Arabidopsis thaliana: one gene and its partners. The protein of the gene in region 1 purifies or fractionates together with the protein of each later gene. This does not show direct contact. Each region holds a gene or a part of one and is shown in the gene's direction. Other genes may lie near its edges.

Region 1 (7,873 bases):
CAAGTTACATGTACTGATATTAATAATTGTTCAATGAAGAAACATCATGAGTTCATGACCAGCTGTAGCTTATGATATCAGAGCAGACCTGTAAGCAGTGTTCAACGTCAAATATGACCTCTATTACTTCGAAATCCTGCACCATCCTAACAAACGTTAGAGCTCAACTCAATAATTGCGGCTTCAAAGTTCAAACAGTGATCTGCTTCAACATGTGTTTTTTACCTTTGTCAAACCATTGCATCTTTCGCACGTCCAAGTGAAGAGTTTTGTCAAATCAGACTCATAGACCTGCATACATCTTACAAACTTGATTCACTCATCTTATGTACGTTATCAGCATCATCTCTTTTCTCTAGTAGTGCAAATAATGATAAATGAAAATATGAAGAGGACAAGTGTAATTTCTTCTCACTTGCAGAACACTAGATATAAATGACATTCGTTCTACAGGGTATTACGTTTTGAAGCTAAATCATTATCAAAGGTCTTTTACTACTTCACTAATCTGCCATTAACTTACCGCAGAGGCATACTCCACAAGCGTGACGGCAAGCGTATGGTTGTAAACAGGTCGATCATCATCGCTCTTCAACTTGAGAACTGCAGTTAGAAGAAAGAAGCTAACATAAATCCACTTGCTTCAGTCTTAACTCCTTCGTAGCCTCACAACTCATACCAAGAACATGAAATTGTCGAAAACATAAAGCTTTGAAATCAATATTTTGACCTTCATGGTTCCTTATGTATATGATGATGCTACAAGGATTATGAATTGATTTGTTCCAAACATGATAGAACATGTAATTAGGCCTTAATGAAAAATCACTGTAGCCAGATTAAATTTCCAATTTCCCAAGCACTTCACATTACACAGAAAGTTTAAAATCTTAATTAAGCTCAGAGAGACTCAGGAGAATAAAAAAACTGGAAGTCCCAATAAAGGAAACAGACATAGAATCATTATAGAAGTTGCATTACCACCTCTACCATATGAAGATGAAACAAGAAAAGTAAAAACTGCCAGCAAGAACAACAATCTCTTTTGTCCCATGTTCTGCAAGAAGACAATAAACACAACCACATCATCCTCTGTTCATCAACCAATGTTAAGGGCAAAATTGAGCTAAAACAAAGCAGAATTCGGAAGCAAATTAGCCAAAAATATACCTTATAAAACGAGACTCACGAAACCCAAACTAATGAGGATTAGGACAAAACCCGAAAGAGATTTCAGCAACCAAAAGTCCCAGATAAATTAAACTGAGGATCCAAAGCCTAAATTGGACTTCTTTTACAACAATTCGGAAATTTCCGACGATGATCGGAGATTATTCCCGGCAAGAAAATTATACGGCGAGCTTATATATTATTATATAGAAGTCGTGATCTTGCGAAACAGAAGCTAATAGAAGAAAAGAAACGGCGATTAAAATACGAATATTCGGTTTTTTTTTTCTTAACTTCCACTTTCATCCTCTATACGCAAAGGTGCATGAGACAAGCGTGTAGGCTCTTTCAAAGGGTATTATTGGAATTTTAGGTGTGTAGCGTGTCGCAACTTCAAGTGCTGAGGTGTCAGATACGTGATTCGGGCGGATAAATGGATAAGGCCGTTCCGTTATAAGAACGAGAAGTTGACCTTTTTGACTTTCGCTTTCTTCTAAGTTTAACTTCGAGCCCATGGGCCTTTAAAGCCCGAATTCCAAGGCGGGAATTTCCGAAACTCTTACTTCTCAAGTGGCGGGAGAATCTTTATAAGTCAAGCCAACGTGGCACATCTCAGCCGTAGATTTGATTTCTCGAAATCAACGGGGTAAAATAGAAGCTACGGTCGTTTCAAACGTCGGGTTTGTTGCTTTTAATTTCACTTTTGTTTATTTACTAACCAAAGCAAAAAAAACTCAGGAACCCTCGATTCGATCTCTCAGACGAAATCAGGATTCGTAGAGGCGCGTCGATGGCTAGAGCTTCGAAGCGGGAAGTTTCTTCAGACGAGGCTTACTCGTCGGAGGAAGAGGAGCAAGTTAACGATCAGGCCAATGTGGAAGAAGATGATGACGAGCTCGAGGCCGTCGCTCGCTCTGCGGGCTCTGACGAGGAAGATGTTGCGCCCGACGAAGCACCTGTCTCTGACGACGAGGTTGTCCCCGTAGAAGATGACGCTGAAGAGGTATGTCTTCGTTTCTGTTTTCCACTCTTCGATTTACATTCGCATGTCGGCTGTGAATTCGGGGATTGCTGTATTTGGAAATCTGAATGTATTCTAAGTAAGATTAGGGTTTCCTTTGAGCGTATATTCGATATTTGGGTGTCTTTTGGTTTCGACTCTCTTTGTTTGAAGGTTTATGCTTAGAAGTGCTTACAATGATGGGTGGTCGCTCATTATGATGGTACATTCATGTGACTCGTGAGGATATTTGGTCACTCTTTTCATAATTTGATGGTTATATGTAGGACGAAGAAGACGAGGAGAAAGCTGAGATCAGCAAACGTGAGAAGGCTAGACTCAAAGAAATGCAGAAGATGAAGAAGCAGAAAATTCAGCAAATCTTAGACTCCCAAAATGCTTCCATAGATGCTGATATGGTAAGTTAGTAAATAACTGAGCTGCTTGTCTTTAGTATCCAGAGGTATTGAAATAACTCAATCATTCCATTTATTAGAACAATAAAGGAAAGGGGAGGATAAAGTATCTTCTGCAGCAAACTGAGTTATTTGCACATTTTGCTAAAAGTGACCCGTCTCCGTCCCAGAAGAAGGGAAAAGGAAGGTGTGTTGAGTGCAACTTATCTCAAAATAAATTGTGGTTATTCATATTAAGTTTCCAGAAATATAATTTATTGGGTTTCACTTTATCGTCAGGGGTCGCCATTCTTCCAAACTAACCGAGGAAGAGGAAGATGAAGAGTGTTTAAAAGAAGAAGAGGGTGGTATAGTTGGATCTGGAGGCACACGGTTGCTCACTCAGCCCGCTTGTAAGTACCTTTGTTTTGCTCCTAATATCTTGATATAGCGTATGTTTGCTCAAGTCCTATTGCGAGTCGAAGTTATTATAGGATTTGACACCTTATGCCCACTTCTTTGATTGGTAGAGTTGTTTGATATATTCTTCAGTTGCGAGCTCACAATTTCTAGGTAGGACTGCATAAATTCTGTAGAATTTAGAGATCTGATCTTCATACTCTTCATATTGCAGGTATTCAGGGGAAGTTAAGAGATTACCAATTAGCTGGTTTAAACTGGCTCATTCGGCTGTATGAGAACGGCATAAATGGGATTCTTGCAGATGAAATGGTAAACCACTAATTATCTTAGCATATAATAAGATTTTTCAGCTCTCTAATGTTATCTGATGCTAATCTTTATTGTTTTTGTTCATGGTCTAGGGTCTGGGGAAGACGCTTCAAACCATTTCTTTGTTGGCTTACCTGCATGAGTACAGGGGAATTAATGGCCCTCATATGGTAGTTGCTCCAAAATCAACCCTTGGTAACTGGATGAATGAAATTCGCCGATTTTGTCCTGTCCTGCGTGCTGTGAAATTTCTCGGTAATCCCGAGGAAAGAGTAAGTCATAATAGCTCTTACATTTGAATGGTTGCATTTATATGCACCTGGCAGGATTCTGAGATATATTTTAAATAATGCAGAGACATATTCGTGAAGAACTGCTAGTTGCAGGGAAATTCGACATTTGTGTAACAAGCTTTGAGATGGCTATCAAAGAGAAGACAACATTGCGCCGTTTTAGCTGGCGATATATAATCATTGATGAAGCACATCGAATTAAAAATGAGAATTCACTCCTTTCGAAAACCATGAGACTTTTCAGCACCAACTATCGGCTTCTTATCACGGGAACCCCCCTTCAGGTACTTGTCAAATCTTTTGATCTATAATTGTTTAGATCCTTCAATTTTTCTGTCAGATTGCTTCTGCCTATGTTGAAACTACTTTCTTGCTTGAGTCTGTTGAACTTAGTTTTTTTTTCTTTTCGTGTTCCTTAGACATGCTTCTTACTATCTTCTGTACTTGATTTGCTTGAGTTAATATTGTATTCATTTCATATGTTTCTACTACAGAATAATCTCCATGAATTGTGGGCCCTTCTCAATTTTCTTCTCCCTGAGGTTTTTAGTTCAGCAGAAACTTTTGACGAGTGGTTTCAAATTTCTGGTGAAAACGACCAGCAAGAAGTTGTTCAACAACTTCACAAGGTATGTACTCATATTTTATCAAGGTTATTCTCTAAGTTCTTATGCTAATCATTTACCTCATCTTTGTAGGTTCTGCGACCATTTCTTCTTCGGAGGTTAAAATCAGATGTAGAGAAAGGCTTACCTCCAAAAAAGGAGACAATACTCAAAGTTGGCATGTCTCAAATGCAAAAACAGTACTACAAGGCTTTACTGCAGAAGGATCTTGAAGTGGTTAATGGTGGTGGAGAACGCAAACGTCTGTTGAACATAGCAATGCAATTGCGGAAATGCTGCAATCACCCTTATCTCTTCCAGGGTGCGGAGCCTGGTCCCCCATATACTACAGGAGATCACCTTGTAACAAACGCAGGTAAGATTTACATTACAAGTAGATCATTCAGAAATGTGGCAATTGGCTTAGTTATTTTCTCTTTACATGTTCTTGTTTCTAGGTAAGATGGTTCTCTTAGATAAATTGCTACCTAAGTTGAAGGATCGAGATTCAAGGGTTCTGATATTTTCTCAGGTATTCATTAACGCAAACAAATAATTGTTCCTATCTTTGATTCCTTTTTTCTGAGTGATATCTTTCTTGGTTCTTTGTGCTTATTCCAACGATTTTGCTCATCTGTATCAGATGACAAGGCTTTTGGATATTCTCGAGGATTACCTAATGTATCGTGGTTACCAGTACTGCCGTATTGATGGAAATACTGGTGGTGACGAACGAGATGCTTCCATAGAAGCCTATAACAAGCCAGGAAGTGAGAAATTCGTTTTCTTGTTATCCACTAGAGCTGGAGGACTTGGTATCAATCTTGCTACTGCAGATGTTGTGATCCTCTATGATAGTGACTGGTAAGGCTCTTTTTGTGTCCATTGTAATTTATGAGTGTTTTCTTTTATGCCTAATGAGGTGGGTGGATTATGGCAGGAACCCTCAAGTTGACTTGCAAGCTCAGGATCGTGCACATAGGATTGGTCAAAAAAAAGAAGTTCAAGTGTTCCGGTTCTGCACCGAGGTTACTCTTGTACCCATGTGTATGAAGTAAGAATGACCTGGAGAACTTGAACTAATTCTGCATTGGTCTTATGCAGAATGCTATTGAGGCTAAAGTCATTGAGAGAGCTTACAAGAAGTTGGCACTTGATGCTCTGGTTATTCAGCAAGGGAGATTGGCAGAACAGAAAAGTAAGTGCTTGTGTACTGAGGCTGTTAGATGTATTGGATTTTCTCTTACATATATATACTGATTTCTTTTCTTTGCTTTCCAGCTGTTAATAAGGATGAGTTGCTTCAAATGGTGAGATATGGTGCTGAAATGGTGTTTAGTTCTAAAGATAGCACAATTACGGATGAGGATATTGACAGAATCATTGCCAAAGGAGAAGAGGCAACGGCTGAACTTGATGCCAAGATGAAGAAATTTACTGAAGATGCAATACAGTTTAAAATGGATGACAGTAAGTGTGCTATTTATCCCTTTTTCCAATGGTAACTCCCTTGCATGGGTAATGGGATGTCCAAACAAGATAGTTTTTGGTTTGTTGCAGGTGCTGACTTTTATGATTTTGACGATGACAACAAGGTATTCTTGGATAATTAATTGAATGATTGAAGGAAAGGTTTAACGCATACTGTGGTTATGCTCTGCAGTTTTTCGAATATCGTTTCCTGATTTCTTTTTTAATTTTGTTTGGTAGGATGAGAGCAAGGTGGATTTTAAAAAGATTGTGAGTGAAAATTGGAATGATCCACCAAAAAGAGAGAGAAAGCGCAAGTAAATATTACTTCTACTTTTTCATTACGTGGTCTATCCTGTCTTCCTAAACAATATCTAACTTCAACAATTTACTTTTCTCTACCCACCCTTTAGCTACTCTGAAGTTGAATACTTCAAGCAAACGTTGCGACAAGGTGCTCCAGCTAAACCTAAAGAGCCTAGAATTCCACGCATGCCCCAATTGTGAGTACCTCAATTGTCTCCACTCTGCATTTAGCCTTTTCCCTGTCTTATTTATAGTACTTTTATCGTAAAAATCTAATTTCTTGTCCATCCTGCAGGCATGATTTTCAGTTCTTTAACATTCAGAGGCTGACTGAGCTGTATGAAAAAGAAGTGCGATACCTTATGGTGGGAATAACAAGTTTATCAACATGTTATGTAATTTATGCAGCTTTTGTGTCTGATTAGTTCTGAATAGCAATTTGTTTCACTCTGGTTTCAGCAAGCACATCAGAAAACTCAAATGAAAGACACAATTGAGGTTGATGAACCTGAAGGTCTTTCTCAGTCTTTGCCCTCTTTTCTTACATTATTTTACTGAATCTATTACTTAAGAAATAATTTTGCAGAAGTTGGAGATCCCTTAACTGCTGAAGAAGTGGAAGAAAAGGAGCTATTGCTGGAAGAGGCAAGCCAAACCATTCGACCTTACTGTGGGTTGACATTTGTTTTTGATGGTTTTTTTATAATTTAATGGAGTTGATATTTTTTAGGGTTTCTCAACATGGAGCAGAAGAGACTTCAATGCCTTCATTAGGGCTTGTGAGAAGTATGGCCGGAACGACATAAAGAGTATTGCCTCTGAGATGGAAGGGAAAACTGAGGAAGAGGTTGAACGATATGCTCAAGTTTTCCAAGTGCGATATAAAGAGCTGAATGGTTAGTAACTTTAGATTGTTAAGTAAAGTTAATGAGTGTTTGCAGTGCGACAAAGTTGGATATTTATCCTAAGTAAGCTCTGCCTCTTGTTTTCCTTTGTAAAAATTGTAGATTACGACAGAATCATCAAGAATATTGAGAGAGGGGAAGCAAGAATCTCTAGGAAAGATGAAATCATGAAAGCTATTGGGAAGAAACTGGATCGCTACAGAAACCCGTGGCTGGAACTGAAGATTCAATATGGTCAGAACAAAGGGAAGCTGTACAATGAAGAGTGCGACCGTTTCATGGTATGACATCTATTTATCAAACTCTTTGTTGAGATTTCATTGTTATTGTTTTATTCTAATATGATATTGACCCGATGAACTTGTGATTATCAGATATGCATGGTCCATAAACTTGGGTATGGAAACTGGGATGAGCTAAAGGCAGCGTTTCGGACATCCCCCTTGTTTAGGTTTGACTGGTTTGTAAAATCCCGCACAACTCAGGAACTTGCAAGGAGATGTGACACACTAATCAGGTTGATTGAGAAAGAGAATCAAGAATTTGATGAGAGAGAGAGGCAAGCCCGAAAAGAGAAGAAGCTTTCAAAGGTGAGGACTTGAAGGAACATTTTTTTTTTTTTGTGCGAAGAACATTTTAAGTTTACATTTTCATTTACTGATGAGATGCTGTGGAATTGTTTCTCATGATCTGTTCTACAACTTGTTTCAGAGTGCAACGCCATCAAAACGACCTTCGGGTAGGCAAGCAAATGAGAGCCCTTCATCTCTTCTGAAGAAACGAAAGCAGCTGTCAATGGATGATTATGTGAGCTCGGTACTCAAAATCATTTCCAAAACATAAAAAGAGTTTTTCATTTTACTGGTTAATTCATGCAAAGCAGACAGACCATCTATTTCTGATCCTAACTAAAAAAAAACTTTATGTCTCTGCAGGGAAAGCGTAGGAAATAAGAAGGCTTGTGTTGAATCCATCACTAAGTAATCAGAAAGATTTA
Region 2 (4,322 bases), about 21 Mb from region 1:
CCGTTTGGGCTGGCTCGTTGTTTGGGTTTTGTTTCTCATGGGCTTCATGTTTATTTAGCCTTTTAGTACTTGTATTCGTTTGCTTCTCTTTTATGTTAGTTTTTTTTTTTATCTTTCTCTTATTTGAAAAGACGTAATTTAGTATTGTAATTAGTTTTGATTATTGATTAAAGAGTTTTAAAGAGTGTTTTGTGTAAAGCCTATAAAAAAGGACTCCTAACCCTAAGAGCTTGTGTTCAAGCCCTGTAAGGAGGACTTGCAAAACCTTGTCGATATCGATCCCTTAGAATCGATCTCGATCTTATCATTTATTGCTTCTTCGTCAAGTTTTGACGTTTTAGCAAGATCTATTCGTGAATCCGACTTTTCCTGCAATCATGGAATAAGAATGTGTTTTTTTTTAAAATGTGTTTATTAAAGAAAGAAGGAAAAAAAAAGTTTTAGTTACATTTGACGTGAACTCTTTGACTTGTGTGGGTGCAATACTATATCAAAAAAATTGGGAGTAGTAATACAGTTACCACTAAAGTTTAGGGACATAATGAACAAAAAAAAAAAAAAAAGTTACACATCTTATGAATTAGACGGAGATTTCGCTGCCAAGTGCCGACGATGCGACGGCGAGAAGAAAAGCGTCGAGAATTTCACGAAGCTCTTCTTCAAACACTGTATCCTCCTTCATCGCCACCTTCTTCTCCTTCCTATTCTCCGCCTCCGGTATTTTCTCAATCTCTATTTGTGTCAATTTGTTAGTTCTCGATTGGGTTATGAATCGATAAATGTTCCCGCCATTGTTTCAGGTGGAGGTTGTTGATAACGAACCATTCGATGTGTCACTCATAAACCCAGGTACGATTAATGTAATCTTAACAAGTTATTTACACTTTGGAAGTCACATTCAAATTTGTTTATTATTCAGAGGATTACTTGAAAATCGATTCATCTAATCACGGAGAAGACAAAGAAATCGGAGACGAATTGGGGATTGCAGAGAAACAGAGTCGAGCGCAGAGAAAGAGGTTAAGGAAGAAGATGCTCAAAGAGGAAGCAGCTCGACGGAAGAAAGTCATCGGACCTTTACTTCCGACTGAAATGCTTCAGACCCATGATGAAAGAAGTGTCGGAGATGCTTGTGGGAGCAATGTTGAAGAAGAAGATTCTGACGGTGGCGAAGAAGAGGTTGATGGGAGCATTAGCAACATATGCTCACAACTTGTTCGACCAAATGCCCAAGAGAAGAAAGAAGGTACACACAGCTTTTGACTTTTTTGACGATATCCTTAGTTTCAAATCTTTTGGGAAAAATTCGTACTTTATCTAACTAGATTTCATAACACATGTACGTATTCAGATCAAGGGTTTGACTTTAATCAAAATCTACTAGCTCATCAAGTTGTTGTCTCATTGTTGGTCCTGTGCAAATTACTCAAACGTTCTCTTTTGTGTATTAATTACATTACGCGTCTGACTCTTTATTTTTTGTTTGGTAGGACTAATCGGTGACAATGATAAGACGAGAAAAGTCAAGAAGAGAAGAAATGCTAAGAAACTGGCCAAAGAGAGTTCTAAGAATATCCAGGATGGATCCAATGCAATCCCTGAAATTCCTAATTAGGGTTCAAATTATCACAGACCTTTATCTAAGAGTTAATTACTTCATCTTTAATAATTCAAGGGTATATTACTAAATTTATAATTCTCGTCTATAAGATTTGTGAGTTCCTTTTATGCCCTTGTTAAGAGGATTTAACTCTTACATCGTCATTGCCATTGTGTAGCTTTTCTCTAAACCCTAAAACCTTAACTTTTTGCTCTTCTCCCTCCGCCTCAATCGCACGAAGACGATAATCGAATATGGCGGAACTAAAGCTATCAGAGAGTCGGGACTTAACCAGAGTCGAGCGAATCGGCGCACACTCACACATCAGAGGACTAGGTCTCGACTCTGCCCTCGAGCCGCGAGCTGTTTCCGAAGGTATGGTCGGTCAAGTGAAGGCGCGTAAAGCCGCCGGTGTAATCCTTCAGATGATTAGAGAAGGGAAAATCGCGGGTCGGGCTATTCTAATAGCGGGTCAACCCGGAACGGGTAAGACAGCGATTGCAATGGGTATGGCGAAATCTCTTGGCTTGGAAACTCCTTTTGCGATGATTGCAGGAAGTGAAATTTTCTCATTAGAGATGTCAAAGACAGAAGCTTTGACTCAGTCTTTTCGTAAAGCGATTGGTGTTAGGATCAAAGAAGAGACAGAGGTTATTGAAGGAGAAGTTGTTGAGGTTCAGATTGATAGGCCTGCTTCTTCTGGTGTTGCTTCCAAGTCAGGGAAGATGACTATGAAAACGACTGATATGGAAACTGTGTATGATATGGGAGCTAAGATGATTGAGGCTTTGAACAAGGAGAAAGTGCAGAGTGGTGATGTTATTGCCATTGATAAAGCTACTGGGAAGATTACTAAGCTTGGAAGATCGTTTTCGAGGTCTCGTGATTATGATGCTATGGGTGCGCAGACCAAGTTTGTGCAGTGCCCTGAAGGTGAGTTGCAGAAGAGGAAAGAGGTTGTACATTGTGTCACTCTTCACGAGATTGATGTTATCAACAGCAGGTACTTTTAACATTCCCTGAATTGTAAACATTGGTAATCATGATTTGGTATCTGCAATACCAATGTAGGTTGCAAAATTGAAGTTTTAGTGATTAGGTGATTGGGAATTTAGTTGATTTGGCTCACTAATTTCAGATGAGATGTCTCAAATTTGAGATTAATTCATTGCTTTATATGCTCTTGAAATTCTCAAGCTCATTTTCTTTAGCAGTGTGTAGTCAGAGCACTCTTTATAACTATAACTAACTCATCTGTTTGTGGTATCGTTAGAACCAATTTTGGTTGCGGAATTTAATGTTTGAAACATGATTGGTAGAACAAAAAAAAGTAACTTTGTGTACTTCTTCTTTGTTTGCTTGCAGGACACAAGGGTTTCTTGCCCTTTTCACTGGCGATACTGGAGAAATCCGATCAGAAGTCCGGGAACAAATTGATACAAAAGTAGCTGAATGGAGAGAAGAAGGAAAAGCAGAGATAGTTCCCGGAGTTCTCTTCATTGATGAAGTCCACATGCTCGACATCGAATGCTTCTCATTCCTTAACCGAGCTCTAGAAAACGAAATGTCACCAATCCTTGTGGTGGCAACAAACCGAGGAGTGACGACAATCCGTGGCACAAACCAGAAATCACCACACGGGATCCCGATTGATCTCCTTGACCGTCTTCTCATCATCACTACCCAACCTTACACAGACGATGACATAAGGAAGATATTAGAAATCCGTTGCCAAGAGGAAGACGTTGAGATGAACGAAGAGGCCAAACAGCTTTTGACATTGATCGGACGTGATACATCTCTAAGGTATGCGATTCATCTTATAACCGCAGCTGCATTGTCATGCCAGAAACGGAAAGGGAAAGTCGTGGAGGTTGAGGATATTCAGAGAGTTTACAGACTGTTCTTGGATGTGAGGAGATCGATGCAGTATCTTGTTGAGTATCAGAGTCAGTATATGTTCAGTGAACCAATCAAAAACGATGAAGCTGCTGCAGAAGACGAACAAGATGCTATGCAGATCTGAGGATCCACCTCTGTTTGCCTTATTTATCATGTTTCGTGGTGATATGTATGATTAGGATGTTGAACTCGGATTTATGTTTTTTTTTTTTTAAGTTGTGACGAGATTCGGTTCTAGAAAATGATTTAACCAAGTTCAATACAGATCGGTTTGGTACAAATTTGATTTTGTTTGGATTTGGTCAACTTATTTCGGTTCGGTTAGACTAGACTGTAGGAGATGGTTTTACTAAATTAGTCTGGCCCGTTAAGACTTTATATGGGCTTTAAGCCCAATATTGACGAGTATAGTGAATCTCTCTCTTATCATTAAATACATGTAAGCGTGTGTTGTTCGCAAAATTTGACACGCATGCAAGTCTCTACCATCAGAGTAAATTAATTACGAGTGTTCTCTTACCAGACTTCATCGGTTTTTGGTGGCGTGTTTTGGTGTAACGAATTTATTTTGCTTGGTCGGGTCAATTTCAACTTATTTAGTGAAATATTATCTAAATTTATGAATAAACGTGTGTCCTTGAATTTCTTGAATAAAGATTTCAAAACAAACGGCTTTGTAGAACAAGAGTTAATGATAGAAGGCCAAACAAATTGTTCCAAACTCATGGATTGAATTAATCTAATTTACACATCGCTTGCAAGTAATTAGAAAAAACAAACATCACACGCTGGTGAATCCAACCAAAAATATGCATTATAA
Region 3 (5,129 bases), on another chromosome or scaffold:
GTACACAGATGATGAAGGTACAGATGTAATAAGAACATAAACAAGCCCTTGAGCTGAATAACTTTAGCTCTCTGATCAAAATTAAAGTTGACTATCATCTGTTAAATTGGTTGATTTTAAGTAGTGAATTTTTTATGGCAGAGATACTTAGTATGGACGTAAAGCCTTACACCTTTACTTACTCGGAACTTAAGAATGCAACACAAGATTTTGATCTCTCAAACAAGCTTGGAGAGGGAGGGTTTGGGGCTGTTTATAAGGTAAGTCCCTTACTGAATCGAACAAAATAGCTGTATATTTTTCTGAGATACTAGGAAAGAAGGGTACATGTAATACCTTTTAATACGTTTTGTTTTGAATAACACGTTCAACAGGGAAACCTCAATGATGGAAGAGAGGTGGCGGTGAAGCAGTTGTCAATTGGATCACGGCAAGGGAAGGGACAATTTGTTGCAGAAATTATTGCAATTTCTTCAGTTCTACATCGCAACCTAGTAAAACTTTACGGGTGCTGCTTTGAAGGAGATCATCGTTTGCTCGTATATGAGTATCTCCCTAATGGAAGTCTCGATCAGGCATTATTTGGTAATGAACAGAAACATGACTTACCTATCTCTGCTTCTGCCAAGCTAAAGTAATCATTATGCCATTGGGTTGGATGTTACAGGGGATAAGAGTTTGCATCTTGATTGGTCAACCCGTTATGAGATATGTCTGGGAGTAGCCAGAGGTCTAGTTTATCTCCACGAGGAAGCAAGTGTTCGCATAATACACAGAGATGTGAAGGCCAGCAACATTTTACTGGACTCTGAACTGGTCCCAAAAGTTTCTGATTTTGGGCTTGCAAAACTATATGATGACAAGAAAACCCATATTAGTACCAGAGTGGCAGGGACGATGTAAGCAAAATCCATAGACCCTGACATTTTGTTTGCAACACAATTATGGCTTTATAGCTCATGTTAGTTGTATCAATGCAGTGGGTATCTTGCGCCAGAGTATGCCATGCGTGGACATCTAACAGAGAAAACAGATGTGTATGCCTTTGGTGTTGTGGCTCTTGAGCTAGTGAGTGGAAGGAAAAACTCTGATGAGAACCTGGAAGAGGGAAAAAAATATCTTCTTGAATGGGTACGTCTATATTTGTCATATAGGCGAAGTTGAAGATGGTGTGATAAATGACAAAAGCCGATAATCCTTTTGTATTTCTTGTATACAGGCATGGAATCTACACGAGAAAAACCGTGACGTTGAACTAATAGATGATGAGCTAAGTGAATACAACATGGAAGAAGTGAAACGCATGATTGGCATTGCTCTGCTTTGCACTCAGTCATCTTATGCGTTGAGACCACCAATGTCACGAGTAGTAGCCATGTTGTCAGGAGATGCTGAGGTCAATGATGCCACCTCTAAGCCAGGCTACCTAACCGACTGTACATTTGATGACACCACAAGCTCCTCATTCAGCAACTTTCAAACGAAAGACACTAGCTTCTCGACGAGCTTTATAGCGCCTGGCCCGGAGATGCCACTTAGAGACGGCGAATCGAAGCCAATGGTTGGATTCAAGATCAAGGAGGGAAGATGAAGATTGTCCCCTCTATAATTTGATATGCTTGTATATGGAAGTTGACAATTTTCTTCTATATAAGGATGTGGAGAAACAGATTTCACTTTCATTCAATAATAATATTTTAGTTGACAATTTTTCAATTTTTGTAACAAACTTTTGATATCTTGCAAGGATGACCAAAAAAAAAAAAAAAAAAAAAAAAAAAGAAAGTTAACCTGTTGTGATGGGCCGGGCATTTTATAAGCTAGTACAACTAACACACCGTTAAATGGGCCTGGCCCATTGAATTTTTCAAGAGCAGCGCCATCAACAGATGCGCTTATTAAACCCCTGAAACCCTAGTTTCGTTCGTTGTATATTTCTTCTCGCTCAGTAGGTCTTTAGGGTTTTAGTTTCTTCTCCTCAAAAAATGGCGATGTATGTTATCTACGAGTCTTCTTCCGGCTATGGTCTCTTCGAGGTTCACGGACTAGATGAGATCGGACAGAACACTGAGGCGGTTCGGACTTCTGTCTCCGACCTCAGTCGCTTTGGCCGTGTTGTTCAGCTCACAGCGTTTCATCCCTTTGAGTCTGCTCTCGATGCTCTCAACCAAGTCAACGCCGTCTCTGAAGGTCAGACTCTTCATTACTCTCTTCTTATTCTTTGTTCTGTATATTCATGTGTTGTGTTGAGTAGCTTGTTCTTGTATTTAGAGCTAGAGTAGACACTTCGATTTAAAACCTTATAGTTCAAATTTCCTGGATATATTGTAGAAAGAGCTTTAATTTATGGTTGATTCTTGTTTTTGTGTTCTGTTTTTGTTTCATTGTTTTGGTTTTGTCATTGATGCTTTTGGAATTGGTTTTAATGTGATATTGGTAGGTGTTATGACTGATGAGCTTAGAAGTTTTCTGGAGTTGAATCTTCCTAAGGTCAAGGAGGGAAAGAAACCCAAGTTCAGTTTAGGATTGGCTGAGCCTAAACTCGGTTCACATATATTTGAAGCTACTAAAATCCCATGCCAGAGCAATGAGTTTGTTCTTGAGCTTCTCAGAGGTGTTCGCCAGCATTTTGATAGGTTTATCAAGGACTTAAAGGTGTGATCTCCTTTCTATGTGTTTAAAATCTTTTTGTCTGTTTGCTTATCTCATATGGTTTGTGTTCTCATAAAAAATTTCTGTTTATGTAGCCTGGTGATCTTGAAAAATCTCAGCTTGGATTAGCTCACAGCTACAGCAGAGCCAAGGTGAAGTTCAATGTTAACCGAGTGGATAACATGGTTATTCAAGCTATCTTCATGCTTGACACGCTTGATAAGGATATCAATTCCTTTGCCATGAGAGTCAGGTTTGTTTTGTGCTTTTCCCTTTCAGATTGTGTGTTTTCCTCGAGAAAATTGGTAGCTGAACTGTTTATAATGTTATTACAGGGAATGGTATTCGTGGCACTTCCCCGAACTAGTGAAGATAGTCAATGACAACTATCTTTACGCCCGTGTTTCAAAGATGATTGATGACAAGTCAAAGTTGACTGAAGATCACATCCCCATGCTTACTGAAGTCTTAGGGGATGAAGATAAGGCAAAGGAGGTCATCGAAGCTGGAAAAGCATCCATGGGTAAAAATTTTGAGCTGACTTTTTTGGTAGCTTTGAGTTAATGTGTGTTTCTGTTAACTTATGTCCTGAGACATTTACTCTCTTCCCTATTGGCAGGCTCGGATTTATCACCGCTTGACTTAATCAACGTACAGACCTTTGCTCAGAAAGTTATGGACCTTGCTGACTACAGGAAGAAGCTCTATGATTATCTTGTCACTAAGATGAGCGACATTGCCCCTAATTTGGCTGCTTTGATTGGAGAAATGGTCGGTGCCCGTTTGATTTCACATGCTGGAAGTCTGACTAACCTTGCTAAATGCCCATCTTCCACCCTCCAGATTCTTGGAGCCGAGAAGGCTCTTTTCAGGTGCAATATCTGGCACTATATTTTTAATGTTCACCAGTTTCCTTTTAGTGCTGCTTGTGACATGAACTGCTGTGGTATTTCAGGGCACTTAAAACACGTGGAAACACTCCCAAGTATGGATTGATTTTCCATTCTTCCTTCATTGGCCGAGCATCTGCTAAGAACAAGGGCCGTATCGCTCGTTATCTTGCAAACAAGTGCTCTATAGCATCCCGGATTGATTGTTTTGCTGGTAAAAATCTGAAACTCCTTGAAGAAGAGTTTTGGATTATGAATTCTGTTGTGAAAGTGTTAAATTATGTGCCCTGATGTCCTATGCAGATGGTGCAACTACTGCTTTTGGTGAGAAGCTTCGCGAACAAGTTGAGGAAAGGCTAGAATTTTATGACAAAGGTGTTGCCCCACGCAAGAACGTGGATGTAATGAAGGAGGTGATAGAGAATCTAAAGCAAGGTATTTCTTGTAGCTGTTTTTTTTTGGTTGTAATCAGAGTCCTCTTTATGATGGCAAACTCAGTGTTTTTTTATCTGTTCCTCCTTTAGAAGAGGAAGGGAAGGAGCCAGTTGATGCCTCGGTGAAGAAAAGCAAGAAGAAGAAGGCAAAGGGTGAAGAAGAAGAAGAGGTGGTGGCAATGGAGGAGGACAAGTCAGAGAAAAAGAAGAAGAAAGAGAAGAGGAAGATGGAGACTGCAGAGGAGAACGAGAAATCAGAGAAGAAGAAGACAAAGAAGAGTAAAGCTGGAGGAGAAGAGGAGACTGATGATGGTCACAGCACCAAGAAGAAGAAGAAGAAGTCTAAGAGCGCTGAATAGAAAGGGATGCAACATTAACAAACCCTGTATTGTATTTTTTTTTTGAGCTAAATTAATGTCGTCTGTTTTTCGTAGTGAACATCGGAGAATTTTTGTTTTGGTCTGGAAACGATTCAAGGTTTGGCAATATCTTAAGTTTGTTTAGGTTTTCACTATTTTGACGTTTGCAACCGTGAAGGAGGCTCCTCCATTTTATAAAATACAATTACCAATTCCAGTGCTTTGCAAATGTTTCAATAATAGCTAAACTAACTACCAAATTGGAAAACTAGCTTAACAAGTTTGTGAAAATGAATTTGGAGCCATATGATTTATTATTTTACCCAAATGGAGTAATAGAAGAAGAGCAGCTCGCGTTTGAATGGTCAGTTAACATTAACAAAAGGTAAAATTGAATAGATGTTAAAACTTGTGTAAGTAAACAATAGAGCTACCTCCTTTTGAGAAGGATAGATAAACTCGTGACCAACCACATTCCCAGTCCCATATTCTTAGTACAAATAAGAAATTCACACCCCTCAAAGAAATATAACATAATCAATCATAGGAAATATACTTCGCATAATGACGATAATGATCAAGTTTCTCCTGTTAGCTCTGCTCGTGATCTCTCCGATTTGCGCCGAGAAGGACCTGATGAAAGAGGAATGCCATAATGCACAAGTTCCGACCATTTGCATGCAATGTCTTGAATCCGACCCAACCTCCGTTCATGCAGACCGTGTTGGCATCGCCGAGATCATCATACACTGTCTCGACTCTCGTCTCGATATCATCACCAAGCAAGTTTTCCC
Region 4 (3,843 bases), on another chromosome or scaffold:
AAGCTGATGTTGTGATCGATAATAATGGCTCTCTTGACGACCTTCACCAACAGTTCGAGAAGGTTTTGATTGAAATTAGAAGACCATTGACGTGGATCGAGTTTTGGCGTTCAAGGCAAGGAGCCTTCTCGGTCCTTGGTTCAGTGATTTTAGGATTATCTGTTTGCAAACAGCTCAAAATTGGCTCTTAACATTTCACTTCTGTTACTGCTAAAAAACTTGTTATAATCTTAAAGCTTTGATTTATTATTCTCTTGCTCTCTTCAGCATTAGCTTATTACACTATTCACTAGTTTGAATTCACTCTCCTATTCAGTCAGTACTCAGGCATCTATTATCTATATACAACTTGAATCTGTGATTGAGAAAAAGAAAGAAGTAGCAAGTGACCATTAATCATAGGTGGCGATGAACGGAATGACCATCAACATGAAGACATCGTAAGAGAGCGTTGCGTAGCCTGTGTAACCAGGGTCGTTCTCCCTGAACTTCTCTGTCAATCCCTGTTAATAAGCATACGACACATTTTAAACAATTTCAAGTGGTTTAGATTCATGTAAACACATTGTCGAAATTCTCATGGAGGTTAAAAGATCATACCTTCACAATCATCCCACACCTGCAGAACAAAATGAGGGAAACAAACCGATGATGCTTAGTATACAAATTAAGAACCGCAAGAATCGATGAAAACATACAGAAAACTTACTCGAGGAAGCTGTCGAAACATAGGTCAACAGTTTTGCCAGTCCCATCATCAAACTGAGATACGATAAGCTGGTGAACCGAGGTTGGAAGCACGCACCCGAGATTATAGAAAGCGTCTCTGAGCTGGGTAGAATTCATCTTTCCACTCCTATCTCTATCGTACCTGTTAAATATTGCCTACAAAAGAACACACATTGAAAAGTAACACTCCATTTTTAACTTTTAAGGCATAGAAGAATACACACATTGCCTCAACTAGATTGATCCACATAAGTGTTCACTTACACGCCATTGCGCAAGGCAGTTCCATAACTCAACATACTCCTTAGGACCTACATAAAAAGGTAGAAACATGGCTATTTTGTAACATCATTCATATTTGAAATCAAAAAGCCAATTTCAAAAGCTGCAATAAGTGAATTTACCAAGCCGAAGCAGAGAATCTACAGGAATCTTGTAAATAAACAACAGCAACCTAATCGTTCTGTTACTAATTCCATCGTACCCAGATAACGACAACGCTTGCCGGAGCTCCGATTCTTCGAGAAATCCGCTCCGGTTTCTATCCGCCGACTCAAAGCTCCTCACAATCTCCGGATGCGTTTCCGGGGAAAACATCCCGGAGTAAGAGCTGAATTGCTGAGTTGGTTGATATGATGGATACGCGTAAGTGTATCTACTTTCACCATCGTGCTGCTGCTGAACGAACGATTCTGGTAGCTCCGGTGCCGACGGTGCGTAGGCGTTTGAGTAAGACATTAATCAGAGTATGAAATTCTTAGAAATGGCTCGAATTCGGAGAATCTGGTTATTCGAAGATGTCTCAAATTCCAGAGGTTGAAGACGACTCCGATTCTTATTCGTGTTTTGATCGAATTTATTAGTATTACGATTGGACGGTGAAGATTTAATAAAGGTTATCCAACGGTGAGATTGACAACGTGCTCATAACTCTTTAGTGCTTATCAATTTGAATAATGGGCCGATTTGCTAGTACGATTTGACGGCTAGGATTTTGTCAATCAATCCAACGGGTAATATTGAGCGGCGTGGTCATAACTCTTTAGTGCTTATAAACTTGAATATGGGCTTTTAAATATTTTAATAGGCTGATCAGCTTACTGGGCCGATGTGTTTTGTTGTATTATTAACATAAAGGCGGGAAAGACGGCGACTGAGAGAGAGGAGAGAAGAATGGAGTCGGAGAAAGTGGTGGTGGACGAGCTGCCGCTAGCTATTGTGCGCCGGGTGGTGAAGAAGAAGCTGTCGGAGTGTTCGCCGGATTATGACGTCAGTATTCACAAGGAAGCTTTGCTCGCATTCTCAGAGAGTGCGAGGATCTTCATCCACTACCTCTCCGCCACGTATGTACACTTCACAAACCCTAACTTTTTTTCGAATTTCTGCACTATGATAGTGAATGATTTGGAATGTTCCAAGTTTGGGTTTATGTTAATGTGATTCAATTGATGAATGTTAGTGTTTGTGAATTGTGATCGATCGAATTGATGGATTTAGTTTAATTTGGGGGTGAATGATATAGGGCAAATGATTTTTGTAAAGATGCAAGAAGACAAACTATGAAGGCTGATGATGTGTTTAAGGCATTAGAAGAAATGGATTTTTCAGAATTTTTGGAGCCGCTTAAATCTTCTCTTGAAGGTAAGTGTTTTGTTCGGATGAAGATCCTATTGTCACTATCTGTTGTTACTTTCATGGAGTGTTAGTAGAAATGGCTTAGGTTGTGATTTGTCTTGTTATGGACACTGGCCTAGGTGTGTGCACTTTGAGCTTATGATGTCAATCCTAGTGTAATCCACATGACTGGTTTTCAGATTTTAAGAAGAAGAATGCGGGGAAAAAGGCGGGTGCTGCAGCTGCTTCGTATCCTGCTGGTGGAGCTGCTTTGAAATCTTCAAGTGGAACTGCTTCGAAGCCCAAAGAGACGAAGAAGAGGAAACAGGAAGAACCATCTACGCAAAAGGGTGCAAGGAAAAGCAAAATAGATGAGGAAACTAAGAGGAATGACGAGGAGACTGAGAATGACAACACGGAAGAAGAGAATGGAAACGATGAGGAGGATGAGAATGGAAACGATGAGGAAGATGAGAATGACGATGAAAATACAGAAGAGAATGGGAATGATGAGGAGAACGACGATGAAAATACGGAAGAGAATGGGAATGATGAGGAGAACGAGAAGGAGGATGAGGAAAACAGCATGGAAGAGAATGGGAATGAGAGCGAAGAGAGCGGGAATGAGGACCATAGCATGGAAGAAAATGGGAGCGGGGTTGGTGAAGATAATGAGAACGAGGACGGGAGCGTAAGTGGAAGTGGTGAAGAGGTAGAGAGTGATGAAGAAGATGAATGAACTCAAGGTTATATTTTTGCTAAGAACATGTTTTCAGGTTTATGTTGGAGATTAGCTTGTAAGCTTGAAGCAGTGGTTGTGGCCATGAGCATGTAATAGACTAACATATCTTTTTGCTCTTTGGCTCTAGTGTTACCAAATATGTAAGTCAAAGTTTAGAAAATGAAGTTTTGCAACAAAATTTTAGCTTAATTATTCATTTTGATTAAGAGAGCAAAAAAGTTGGGATGCTAGTCTAAAGCAAATGTTACAACAAGAAGAGTAAAACTCTGACACAGTTGAAAATTTTGAGTTTGGATGTATAATAAACTAGAGGGTCATTTGGCTTTCACTTCATGTATTCAGTGACACGCTGCGAAATATCATCGAGGAAAGACACGAAACCCATGGCGCTAGCAAAACCATTACCGTCCACATCTTGTTCTTCTATAAGATAGTTCTCAAAGACAGTAGCATCGTCTCGTCCTCCTCGGATAAACACTAGTTTTGGTGTGATGCTCCTTTCTTGCTTCACTTTATTTATGGTCTGCCTCAATAAACCTGTAAGATATAAGTTTTCGAATCAACATAGTCTCAAAGATCTAAAGGTGGTTGAACTGGATTTCATTTGGTGAGAAAACTTACAGTCTTGAGGTGGAGGGAAAGGTATTGACGGGTCTGCTGTTGATGAGTAGAAGACTATCAAAGTGGTATATGCATCTAGGAAAAATATCGGACTACCACTTGTTATCAATGCTGCACGGCTCAACGAATGACGCGGA

Evidence for each region.
Region 2: the proteins of CHR17 (region 1) and AT5G67630 fractionate together in Arabidopsis thaliana (co-fractionation; one large-scale study listed by BioGRID). This does not show direct contact.
Region 3: the proteins of CHR17 (region 1) and NOP56 fractionate together in Arabidopsis thaliana (co-fractionation; one large-scale study listed by BioGRID). This does not show direct contact.
Region 4: the proteins of CHR17 (region 1) and NF-YB11 fractionate together in Arabidopsis thaliana (co-fractionation; one large-scale study listed by BioGRID). This does not show direct contact.

Annotation. Positions count from the first base shown.
Region 1 is NC_003076.8:6,196,146-6,204,018, reverse strand, and holds the start of CHR17 (chromatin remodeling factor17), read left to right. Parts: upstream 1-1,852; 5' UTR 1,853-1,960; coding exon 1,961-2,173; intron 2,174-2,457; coding exon 2,458-2,589; intron 2,590-2,666; coding exon 2,667-2,773; intron 2,774-2,865; coding exon 2,866-2,978; intron 2,979-3,199; coding exon 3,200-3,297; intron 3,298-3,389; coding exon 3,390-3,569; intron 3,570-3,652; coding exon 3,653-3,874; intron 3,875-4,084; coding exon 4,085-4,219; intron 4,220-4,288; coding exon 4,289-4,571; intron 4,572-4,653; coding exon 4,654-4,727; intron 4,728-4,838; coding exon 4,839-5,059; intron 5,060-5,135; coding exon 5,136-5,223; intron 5,224-5,299; coding exon 5,300-5,393; intron 5,394-5,476; coding exon 5,477-5,665; intron 5,666-5,755; coding exon 5,756-5,790; intron 5,791-5,905; coding exon 5,906-5,982; intron 5,983-6,078; coding exon 6,079-6,168; intron 6,169-6,266; coding exon 6,267-6,336; intron 6,337-6,430; coding exon 6,431-6,485; intron 6,486-6,557; and 12 more. Other genes in the region: AT5G18630 (alpha/beta-Hydrolases superfamily protein), read right to left, coding at 89-136, 226-291, 524-603, 982-1,054. UniProt on the Arabidopsis thaliana protein: Possesses intrinsic ATP-dependent nucleosome-remodeling activity. Constitutes the catalytic subunit of several complexes capable of forming ordered nucleosome arrays on chromatin. Involved in the formation of nucleosome distribution patterns.
Region 2 is NC_003076.8:26,966,839-26,971,160, reverse strand, and holds AT5G67630 (P-loop containing nucleoside triphosphate hydrolases superfamily protein), read left to right. Parts: upstream 1-1,760; 5' UTR 1,761-1,854; coding exon 1,855-2,603; intron 2,604-2,965; coding exon 2,966-3,626; 3' UTR 3,627-3,783; downstream 3,784-4,322. Other genes in the region: AT5G67640 (uncharacterized protein), read left to right, coding at 613-717, 801-849, 920-1,246, 1,491-1,615.
Region 3 is NC_003070.9:20,983,750-20,988,878, reverse strand, and holds NOP56 (NOP56-like pre RNA processing ribonucleoprotein), read left to right. Parts: upstream 1-1,926; 5' UTR 1,927-1,985; coding exon 1,986-2,190; intron 2,191-2,440; coding exon 2,441-2,655; intron 2,656-2,747; coding exon 2,748-2,905; intron 2,906-2,987; coding exon 2,988-3,175; intron 3,176-3,271; coding exon 3,272-3,524; intron 3,525-3,607; coding exon 3,608-3,756; intron 3,757-3,845; coding exon 3,846-3,977; intron 3,978-4,066; coding exon 4,067-4,335; 3' UTR 4,336-4,476; coding exon of another isoform or gene 4,477-4,520; 3' UTR 4,521-4,544; coding exon of another isoform or gene 4,545-4,578; 3' UTR 4,579-4,606; downstream 4,607-5,129. Other genes in the region: AT1G56120 (Leucine-rich repeat transmembrane protein kinase), read left to right, coding at 1-17, 142-260, 375-585, 668-899, 981-1,131, 1,220-1,591; AT1G56105 (uncharacterized protein), read right to left, coding at 4,477-4,520, 4,545-4,578, 4,770-4,825, 4,892-4,968, 4,997-5,129; AT1G56100 (Plant invertase/pectin methylesterase inhibitor superfamily protein), read left to right, coding at 4,900-5,121.
Region 4 is NC_003071.7:11,744,435-11,748,277, reverse strand, and holds NF-YB11 (nuclear factor Y, subunit B11), read left to right. Parts: upstream 1-1,822; 5' UTR 1,823-1,902; coding exon 1,903-2,072; intron 2,073-2,091; exon of another isoform or gene 2,092-2,251; coding exon 2,252-2,370; intron 2,371-2,543; coding exon 2,544-3,082; 3' UTR 3,083-3,297; downstream 3,298-3,843. Other genes in the region: ATCOAE (dephospho-CoA kinase family), read left to right, coding at 1-191; AT2G27480 (Calcium-binding EF-hand family protein), read right to left, coding at 393-503, 601-619, 710-885, 994-1,040, 1,134-1,467; AT2G27460 (sec23/sec24 transport family protein), read right to left, coding at 3,411-3,622, 3,707-3,843. UniProt on the Arabidopsis thaliana protein: Component of the NF-Y/HAP transcription factor complex. The NF-Y complex stimulates the transcription of various genes by recognizing and binding to a CCAAT motif in promoters.